Caenorhabditis elegans: one gene and its partner. The protein of the gene in region 1 purifies or fractionates together with the protein of each later gene. This does not show direct contact. Each region holds a gene or a part of one and is shown on either strand. Other genes may lie near its edges.

Region 1 (4,301 bases):
CTCCTGGGTTTGAGCGATTTTCTAGAAAATTTATATTTATATAGTTTGAAAATTTAAAAACATTTGTTTGTTCACAAAATCATGTCATACTTAGCTTAAAGTTAAAAATATTTAGACCTTGTCATCTAATTCAAATAGCCATTTTAAAATTTTAAAAACTTTCAGTATCTGAATTCCAAATTGAAAAGGTTATACCTCGATAATGTATTCTTCATTGTTCGTACGAGTTTCGAAGAATCCCTGGCTGACAAACGATGGAAATATTGATTTTTCTTGATAATCAATTGATTTTCCAAAACATTCCGCTAAGAGCAACCCGAATGTTACAAAGGTGACAATCACCACCGAAACGAGAAGTTTATTGTATTTCAATTTCATTGTTCCATTATTATCTGTTAGTAAAATAATATCGTAAATAAAAATATTACTCAAAATAATTTGTAGGGTTAGAGAACCTATCATTGGAGTGAAAGATAGAGGAAAACGAAAATTTCAAAAAAACTTAATCTTCAATAAATTTATCAGAAAACAAAAATAAAACAACCGCGTAAAAAAAAGAGAAAACACAAAAAGGCTCCAATTATTCCTAAAATTCCAAGATTGTTAATCATCGGTCCATTCTTCGTCTTCTCCATCTTCTACTACCTCGTTTTGAACTTTGCCTGAAAATCGTTGATTTATAAAGAAACACGAGAAATTAAAAAAAAAACAACACTAATGAAAACAACTAACCTTTAGCAGGTACCTTCTGATCCTTAGCAACAATGCAATTGGTGACGTCAGCATTCTCTCCGATTTCTACTCCATCACAAATAATAGAGTTGCTTATGGAGGCACTGGAATGGAAAAGTATAAATTCAAGTTTTAATTCAAGAAATCAGTAATTGTGATAACAGAAGAATTCTTAAATCGAAAGTTTTCATATGTTTGTCTATTTATTAAGAAAATATCTTTTCCGAAAGCTCATCCGAAACTTCTCGCGCTACGAAAATCCCAAAACTAACCCATTTCCAATGACAACGCCTTTGGCAATGATACTCTCTTTTAGCTTTGTTTTTTCACCAATCCGACAATTATCCGAGATGAAAGACCGTTTGATAACTGAATCCTTGTCAATCTGAATGGAAATGTTCCCTAACTATTTTTGAACAAGTATTACCTCTGCGCTTTCTTCGATCCGACTCTCGTGGGCAGCAATTTTATCAGTTTTGTAGTTGAAATTCTTCCCATTTCCGCGATATTCCATCAATCGAGTAAAAGATTTTTGAATCTAAAAAAACAATTTAAAGGCTATATGATAATGCATTATTAGCACTTACAGCTTTATTCACTTCGAAATAAGAGCCAAGAGTATTCGCATGTGCAGTTACAAATCCATTTTCATGAGGAAGACGATATGCAAAGCATTTGATATCAGAATCCGGTTCAAATTGTTTATCAATCAGAAGAGGCACAAAATCGGCTTTGAATGATGAAATGTGTCTAGAAATTATACATTTAGAGTAAAACACATTCAAAGAAACACTTACTTTGATTTTGACAGATTAAGAAGAACTTTATGACGTATAGCATAAACATGACAATCATTGTACTTTGAAGTTAATTTGATCGATGGGAATATTTTCAAACTTTTCTCCATAACCAATGGAGCATCAAAATCATCATCTCCGCAAAGGAATGCAAGTTGACCTGTCGATTCTACTATTGCCATTACATCGGTGGCTGTAAATTAATATTTTGATAAATTAGAGGAAGGTTGAAATAAATAATACCTTTAGGTTTTTTCGATTTTGATCCCGGAGCCGGAGCATTGACACACGTATCTGCAATAAGAGCGACAAGCGTGGAATTTGTAGCTCGGAAGAAATCAACAAGTGGAATGAGACTGGCATCGCTGATAAAATCACAGGAAACAATCAATGCATCTTTCTGTAAAAATTAGAATTATTAAGGTAACTTCTTTTTCAGCTGATTGACTTACCGTAATTTTAGAATGATGATTCTTCAATAGATCCGCGGTTCCAAAATCCTCTTGATTGACACAAATATATTCAATATGTGCTGGATACTTTTCTAATAGCTTCGACTTTTTTACTTCTTTTTCGAGAGTTAGTTGAAGAACTTCACGAACAAATATCTTGATATCTTAAAAGTTTAATTACTCAATCATATTTAACGATAAAAAATCAATGTTACCAGTAATTCCTGTTCTTAGAAGCGAGGAAAGTGGATAAAGGAACATTGGCACTCCGACAACAGGCAGTAGGCATTTTTGAACATGGCGTGTAAGGACAGGCATGCGTGTGCCACCTCCAGAACACAAAAGTATCCCTTGCATTTCGTGCATTTTTATCTGAAATTGTTATTTGAACGAAAAAAATATGTTTAAAATGTTAGGAAAAAAAAGAGAAAGCTTGCAACTCTGCTGGAATTGTTTTTTTGTTTAAAAAATAACTGTTGTATATTTACGGGCTAAACAACACGCGCATGCGTTATTACGGAGTGTCGTTAGCCAGATTTGTTGTATACTGTCGTTAGCAAGATTTGTTGTATATTATAAATTCTGCAGAATTCTGGAGGAAAGAAACGATAAGATGTGTATTTAGATCGGAAAGGAATTTATTTGAAGAAATATTGTTTATTAGAATGACAAATCGTAATTGAGTATCAATTAATTGAGCTCATTCTATTGTTTCTTTGGTCTCGACACGATTCCCGTGGTATCGACAAGTACAGTAGTGTTCTGTAAATATTAAAATGAAGAATGAAGTCAAGGGTGTTTTAAAATGAACCTCGTTGATGTTCAAAGAAGAACAAGAAGATCGGATTGTATCTTTTGTCACATCGAGTTTCGACTTCTTATTGTCATCAATGCGATAGTATCCGTAGATCTAAAAAATATAACTGGACGCTTGGAATCAGTGGGTCAACGTACTTTGTCGGTGGGTAGAATTTTCAGAACACGACGAGTTTCCCTGACCAGGTCTCCGAGCGTTCCTTCCCTAACGAACTCCATTGGCATTCCTCCATCGTCGTCATCACACTGGCCAATCTAAAATTTCCTTCCCTATTTTCAGATTCACTAAACTTTAATATTTTTCAGGGCCGCGCGCACGCAGCCCCGATACGCAAAAATTAAGCTGTTGGCGAATCTCAACTCGAGACTGCCACACAGGTCAGCCCGCCCAAAAGTGCAATGGGTAGGCCTCACCATGGGGATCCCGTCTTCATGATCACGAGATACCCCCAGCCAGGTAAGTTTATGAGCTATAGTGAAGGGGGGCCTATGCTTATTTGTGTTCGGACATCTCGCGGGTTTCGCAGCTGCCCATCTTTCTCGTGCAAGTAGGCGGGGTTGTGGCAGAGAACGAGACGACCACCCTAGTAAATACGAGAAATATATTTACTTGCCTTGAGTGAAAACTTTTGACCATTCATTGTGTTTAGATCTCCATGGATTATGTTCTGAAAAATTGTAACTTTGTCTAAATTAATTCCCCTATAACCACGATGCGAGATTTTTGCGCTAAAGTATAGTACCCGGTCTTGACACGACAAGTTTCTGTGGATACTGTAATTTCAAACTTCTGTTTTTGCGGAGTTTTTAATTGATTTATTGATTCCATAGTTTTCTCTCACTATTCGTTAAAATTTATGTGTTTTAATTAATATCATATTTGTTTTTTAAAATAACATTAATACCGTTATCAAAAAACTATGACAAAGACGTCTTTAAAGACCGGTAAGAAAAATAATTCGAAAGTTTAAGACTACAGTACTCTTCAAAAACGCACGGCTTTTTCCATTAACGGAAAAGCCATTCTACAAAATTCATCGTGCCAAGACCGTGCACCGTATGTTTGGCGCAAAATTTCTCGTCCAGCTCCAGTACACCTACCGTTACAATGTCATCCTTCAAAGTTTGCATCGAAAATTTTGCCTGAAGAGTGAACTTGGAGAAAAACGCCTTCTTCTCTGGAAACTGAGCATCCAACGCCAAAACGCTTTCACATCGATACGGAATTGCACATGTTTTAACAGGACAAGCCGGTGACTTTCCATTTTTCTCACATTCGTCAAGCATTGATCCGATGCATTTAATACATACATCATGGTCACACTCCAATTCAGAAGGGAAGTTTCGAAGAACTTCACCCTCACAGTGTAGTGATCCCATACATGGTTGTCGGGTCTGAACTAATTGACGTGTGTAATTAAATGAGCCGAAAAACTATACCGCATCTGCCGACTTTCTCCTTTTCGCTGACTCTTTGTTGACACACTTGCCGAGTTCACAAAAA
Region 2 (4,873 bases), on another chromosome or scaffold:
TTTGGTCGAGCTCCGGGGCTCCAAGTCCGGCCAGGCAGATCAGGAAATCTGGAAAATAGATTTTTAGTGGATTTTGGATTTAAAGAAGGAGAAAATAGCTCAAAAATCTTAAAATTTCGCCAAATTCCAGCTAAAATCTGCAATTTTTCATTGTTTCAGCGATTGAAAACTGATTTCTTGCACTTTTCCGGTTGAAAGTTGAAAAAAATACGAAACATGGACCTGAAAAAGAGCAAAATTGGTGATTTTTGGACATTTTTTGACGGAAAAATTACAAAAAATGCCTAATTTCAGCTAAATTTTGCACATTTTTGGCACTTTTTAAGTAAAAAAGTGGTAATGTACTACAAAAATTAACAAAATTCAGAAAAATTCATAATTGTTTTTTTTGTCCGGCTTGTCTCATTTTTCGCCGTATTTTTTCTTTTTTCTGAATTATTGAAGTTTCTGGGATTTTTTTCCTCTCTTTAAGAAAGAAGAAGAAGAAGAAGCCGAAAGCCTAAGCCTAAGCCTAGGGATAAGCCTGAGCCTAAAGTCTAAGTCTAGCCTAAGCCTTAGCCTTCTTAAAAAATCAGAATCTGAGATTTTCGCTAAATTTAGACGTTTTTTCGAATTTTTTGAGCGTTTTTCCCAATGAAATTCGAGGTTTTTGAGCTTTTTTCTGAGCTCTTACGGAGCAAAGTGTGCACAACATGCGGTGGAATGTCCTGAAGCCATTTTTTGTGCGAAGTACCGCTTTGTCTGAGGCTGTAGTGCCAAATTGCGCATTTTGGCTGGCATGCCTGGAAAAAATCGACTTTTTAAACATTTTTTTTTTTTTAATGCATTTTTGATTTTTCCAACCACAGCAAAGTAATTCTTGATAATCTGCTTGCTTTTCCCGTTCAAATCTCCACTTTTTCGAAAAACCACAGAATTATAGATTTCTAAAAGATCCATTTTCCGGAAAATCTCAGTTTCCTGGATACAATGCTCGCCGGCTCGGATACGTGAAGATGAGAAGTCTATGGACTGTAGAGATGATGACGTGGCACTCATTGTGTGAATTTTGAATTTATAATTTTCAAATTTCTCGCGAATGCTTGACATTGAAGTTTTGAGCAAATTCCACTGAAAAAAAACCAGTTTTTTTTGTTTTTTAGGTGAAAATTCAGATAATTTCTTGGAATTTCGTACCAGAAATGCATTTCCAATGACTACAAGTCTACTATCAATTGTTCCAGTGCTCAGCTCTTCGGACAGATTCCAAATGCTAATATTCGCCATAGTTGGCACATTTTTTGCGAATTTTAGTGTTAGCTCCTTCAGTTTTTCGTCATCCAGTGTTTTTTCAATTATTCCATCGGCAATGATTCTTCCGACCTCTTCCACATTAATTTCAGGCTGTTCCAGTTGTAATTCTAGGTCTTCTGAAATGAAAAAAATTATTATTTTTCTACTTTCTCAAGTAAAAATTTAAAAATTGAATCACCTATCGGAGATCTTTCTAATTTCTCTTCAAGTGCCGCACGTATCGAGTTTTGACTGGTTCCAGGACGCTTTGCTGGGAGATCTGAAGCATTTTCTGGTATTTTATCGATTTTTCGAAGCTTTCACAAGTTTTACTAACCATTAAACCCACCCACGTCTTCTTTTGAGCGTTTTCTATTCATTGTTCACAAAAAAATCTTGGAAGAATTACTGTAAAATCTACAGAGAAATGGATAAAAATTTAAAATAAAGAATGTCCACGAGGAGTACAAAAATTGATTCGAGAGAAGTACACTGGAGAAAGTTAGTCGTGGAGCGCGTTTGCATTAGGATAATTTCAACACATTTTTGCATTTTTTTGGCAAAAAGTGTATTTTTAAAGTTAAAACTTGCTTTTTTTTCAATTTATTTCTTTTATTTTAAACATTAGAAATAAAATTTAAACCCGTACAGATTCAAAATGAGCTCGGACAATGAAATTGAAGACCTGAAGCGAGCATTTATTTTTGCTTTACGAAAAAAGTGAGTTTTCTGATGAAAAAACTCAATTATTCCTTCATTTTCCAGATTTCCACGTGATTCCTCTTCCTCCATAGCAATTGCGACAGTGAATTTGATCAGAAAAATCATTTTCCGCGAAAATCCAAAGACAATGAACGATTTGCAAGTTTCGTTGGCAAATCACTGCAAAAAGCTTCACGGAGCCGAGCGATCGGAGCTCATTATTATTAATATCGGCTTAATGATCACGAAATTGGCTCGAGACGAAGTTCTTCAGAAGAAAGGCGGCGGAGAGCCGGAGCCACTGTATACGCTGTGGAGAGATGACGATGAGACGATTAAAAAGCTGAAAACAGCTGATATGAAGAAGATTAAAAAAGATCTTCAGGCTTCCATTAAGGAGGTAATGCTGGGAACTGGAAACCAGAAAAAAGTCGCTAAAAAATGAAAATTTCTGCTCAAAAAAATCGATTTTTTTTTTTAAAATTTAGAATTTTCAACTAATTTTTCTCATAAAAAATGTAGATTTCGATGATATTAATATCAAAAAAAAGGGAAAATTATAATTTTTATTCAAAAACTACACATTTTTAATGCAATTTTTTCATTTTCAGCTAGTAACGGAAATCGAATCATCTCGTGAATGTATTGCATCTCAATCAACGGAACTTTTATTCAATAATGATGTTGTACTAGTTCATTCACTTCGTTCATCTCAAACAATGCACAATTTCCTATCACATGCCGTCAAATCAGGCCGAAAACATCGTGTAATTGATGTAGTTGATGAAGAAGAACATATTGAATCAACTCCTGACTTTGCAACTGCAATTGAGCTCTATGAAGTCGCCTCGAAGATGCCTGAAGCCTCGAAAGTTGTTCTAGTCGCTGCTGCTTATTTCCCTGATGGATCATGTCTTGTACCTGCTGGTGGACATCAAATTGCACTTCTTGCCAAGAGGCATTGTGTTCCAGGTGCTTAAAATGCCCGTTTTTCTAAAAAAGGACTAAAAAATCGGTTAAAAATCAGTTTTTTTTTCTAAAAAAAATTTAAAATCGTTTTCTGAAGACTTTTCTATTCAAAAAGTGCTTAAAATTACCTTTTTTCCGAAAAAAAAAATCAACGGAAAAAATTTAATAAAGCGAATTTTTCGAGAAAATCAGCTAGAAATCAATTTTCAACTTAAATTTTATAATTTTTTCGAAACTATTAGTGGCATTTTTCAACAAAAATTAAATTTAAATTAAAAAATAAAAAATAAAATTTAAATTTAAATTTAAATTTTAAAAAATTAAAGAAAATTTAAATTTCTAGAAAAAAATAAAATTTAAAGAAAAAATTTAAATTTTAAATTTCAAAAAATTAAAAAAAAAAGTTCAAAGAAAAAATTTAAATTTCTAAAATAAAATAAACAATTTCAAAAAAATTAAAGAAAATTTTAAATTAAAAAAAATTTTAAAATTTAAATTTTAAAATTTTTTTAAAACAATTTAAATTTCTAAAAAAATCGAGTTTTAGAAATTTTAAATTTTCTGTGCATATTCTGGCCATTAAAAAAAAAGCATTCTCATTTTGGAAGGAATTCAACAAAAATTGAAAAATCACTTATTTTTTTCGATTTTCTTTTTTTTTCCTAACTTTGAGACTATTTTGAGTATTATGAACGAAAAAAATGGAAAATAATAATTTTCCAATTTTTTCAGTCTACGTGCTCGCTCCATTCTACAAACTGTGTCCATTCTTCATGACAAATCCGGATTCCCTGCACACATTCCGCTCGAATTCCCTTCCATTCGATCTATCAGCCAAATCAGCAGGCCTTGTAGACTGTCTTCATCCGGCATTTGATTGTCTTCAATCTGATTTGGTTACCCTTTTTGTCTCGAATACTTCATGCGTTATTCCGTCTCATGTGAATCGTCTCAAGGAAGATTATTATCATTCACAGGATATTGCTGATTATTAATTTTATATCGTTTTCTTCTAGCCTCATAACTTGTACCCCCCGTTTTTCTCCATTTTTTCTGGGTCTTTTTTCGTCAAATTATTGTTTCTTTTTGTTTGTTTTGCGCCTCTCAATTTTCAGTAAATTATTTTATAATTTGGATGTGACTTTCCTCAAATTTACAGATTCTTAGAGTGGGAGAATCCACACGTGGTGTCAGGCTGTCCCATCGCTCCACTGCACACAAAAGGCGGGAAACGATTTTTTGAAAATTTGTGACGTCACAGCGCATTTCGATTAATTTTTTGTTTGCAATTTAAGAGTCGATTTTCATTAAATTTTTTTCTTATAATTTATAAAATTGATATTTCACCGAAATTCGGAAAAATTAGCAAGTTAAGTGGAGAAATTGAAGCAAAATACAACAAAATACAATTTTTGAAAAATTATGAAAAAAAGTCACAGAAATCGACGCTTAAATTTATAAACAATTAATCGAAATGCGGTGTGACGTCACAAGTTTTCAAAAATATTTTCCCGCTATTTCGCGTGCAGTGGAGCGATGGGGCAACCTGATACCACGTGAATTCAGGGTTTTGTGTTCAAAATAAATTGAAAATCTATCAAAACTTCGGATCCTTTTGAAATTGGGAATAAAAAATAAGAACAATAAACTTGGAGAATTTTGAAGTGGAAAGAAGAAGAAGAATAAGACAGTATCGAGTGGTCTAGCTGCAGTTGAGAAAGAGTGAGTTTTGTTGCGAATACGACGGAGAAGAATCTCCTCCGATCACGACTTTTATAAATATTGCATAATTATACACTCTATAACGGACGCGAACAACACGAGGCTTATCCAGCACATTGCTCAAGGAACAACAGCCAGTCAATGCTAACAAAAAACAACCACGTGAACCATTCCGCCGTGAACTCTCATGCGATGCATACAAAGAGCA

What was found.
Region 2: the proteins of eif-2Bgamma (region 1) and eif-2Bbeta fractionate together in Caenorhabditis elegans (co-fractionation; one large-scale study listed by BioGRID). This does not show direct contact.

The regions. Positions count from the first base shown.
Region 1 is NC_003280.10:6,965,296-6,969,596, forward strand, and holds eif-2Bgamma (Translation initiation factor eIF2B subunit gamma), read right to left. Parts: upstream 2,354-4,301; 5' UTR 2,348-2,353; coding exon 2,197-2,347; intron 2,146-2,196; coding exon 1,982-2,145; intron 1,930-1,981; coding exon 1,773-1,929; intron 1,723-1,772; coding exon 1,530-1,722; intron 1,483-1,529; coding exon 1,320-1,482; intron 1,271-1,319; coding exon 1,160-1,270; intron 1,118-1,159; coding exon 1,005-1,117; intron 837-1,004; coding exon 733-836; intron 663-732; coding exon 604-662; 3' UTR 505-603; downstream 1-504. Other genes in the region: tra-2 (Sex-determining transformer protein 2), read right to left, coding at 1-21, 196-378; C15F1.5 (RING-type domain-containing protein), read right to left, coding at 2,687-2,743, 2,793-2,891, 2,936-3,052, 3,412-3,465, 3,899-4,192, 4,238-4,301. UniProt on the Caenorhabditis elegans protein: Acts as a component of the translation initiation factor 2B (eIF2B) complex, which catalyzes the exchange of GDP for GTP on the eukaryotic initiation factor 2 (eIF2) complex gamma subunit.
Region 2 is NC_003279.8:11,890,778-11,895,650, reverse strand, and holds eif-2Bbeta (Translation initiation factor eIF2B subunit beta), read left to right. Parts: upstream 1-1,923; 5' UTR 1,924-1,930; coding exon 1,931-1,992; intron 1,993-2,037; coding exon 2,038-2,374; intron 2,375-2,585; coding exon 2,586-2,946; intron 2,947-3,675; coding exon 3,676-3,938; 3' UTR 3,939-4,075; downstream 4,076-4,873. Other genes in the region: Y47H9C.8 (NACHT_N domain-containing protein), read right to left, coding at 1-48, 674-782, 844-1,110, 1,177-1,409, 1,472-1,552, 1,610-1,652.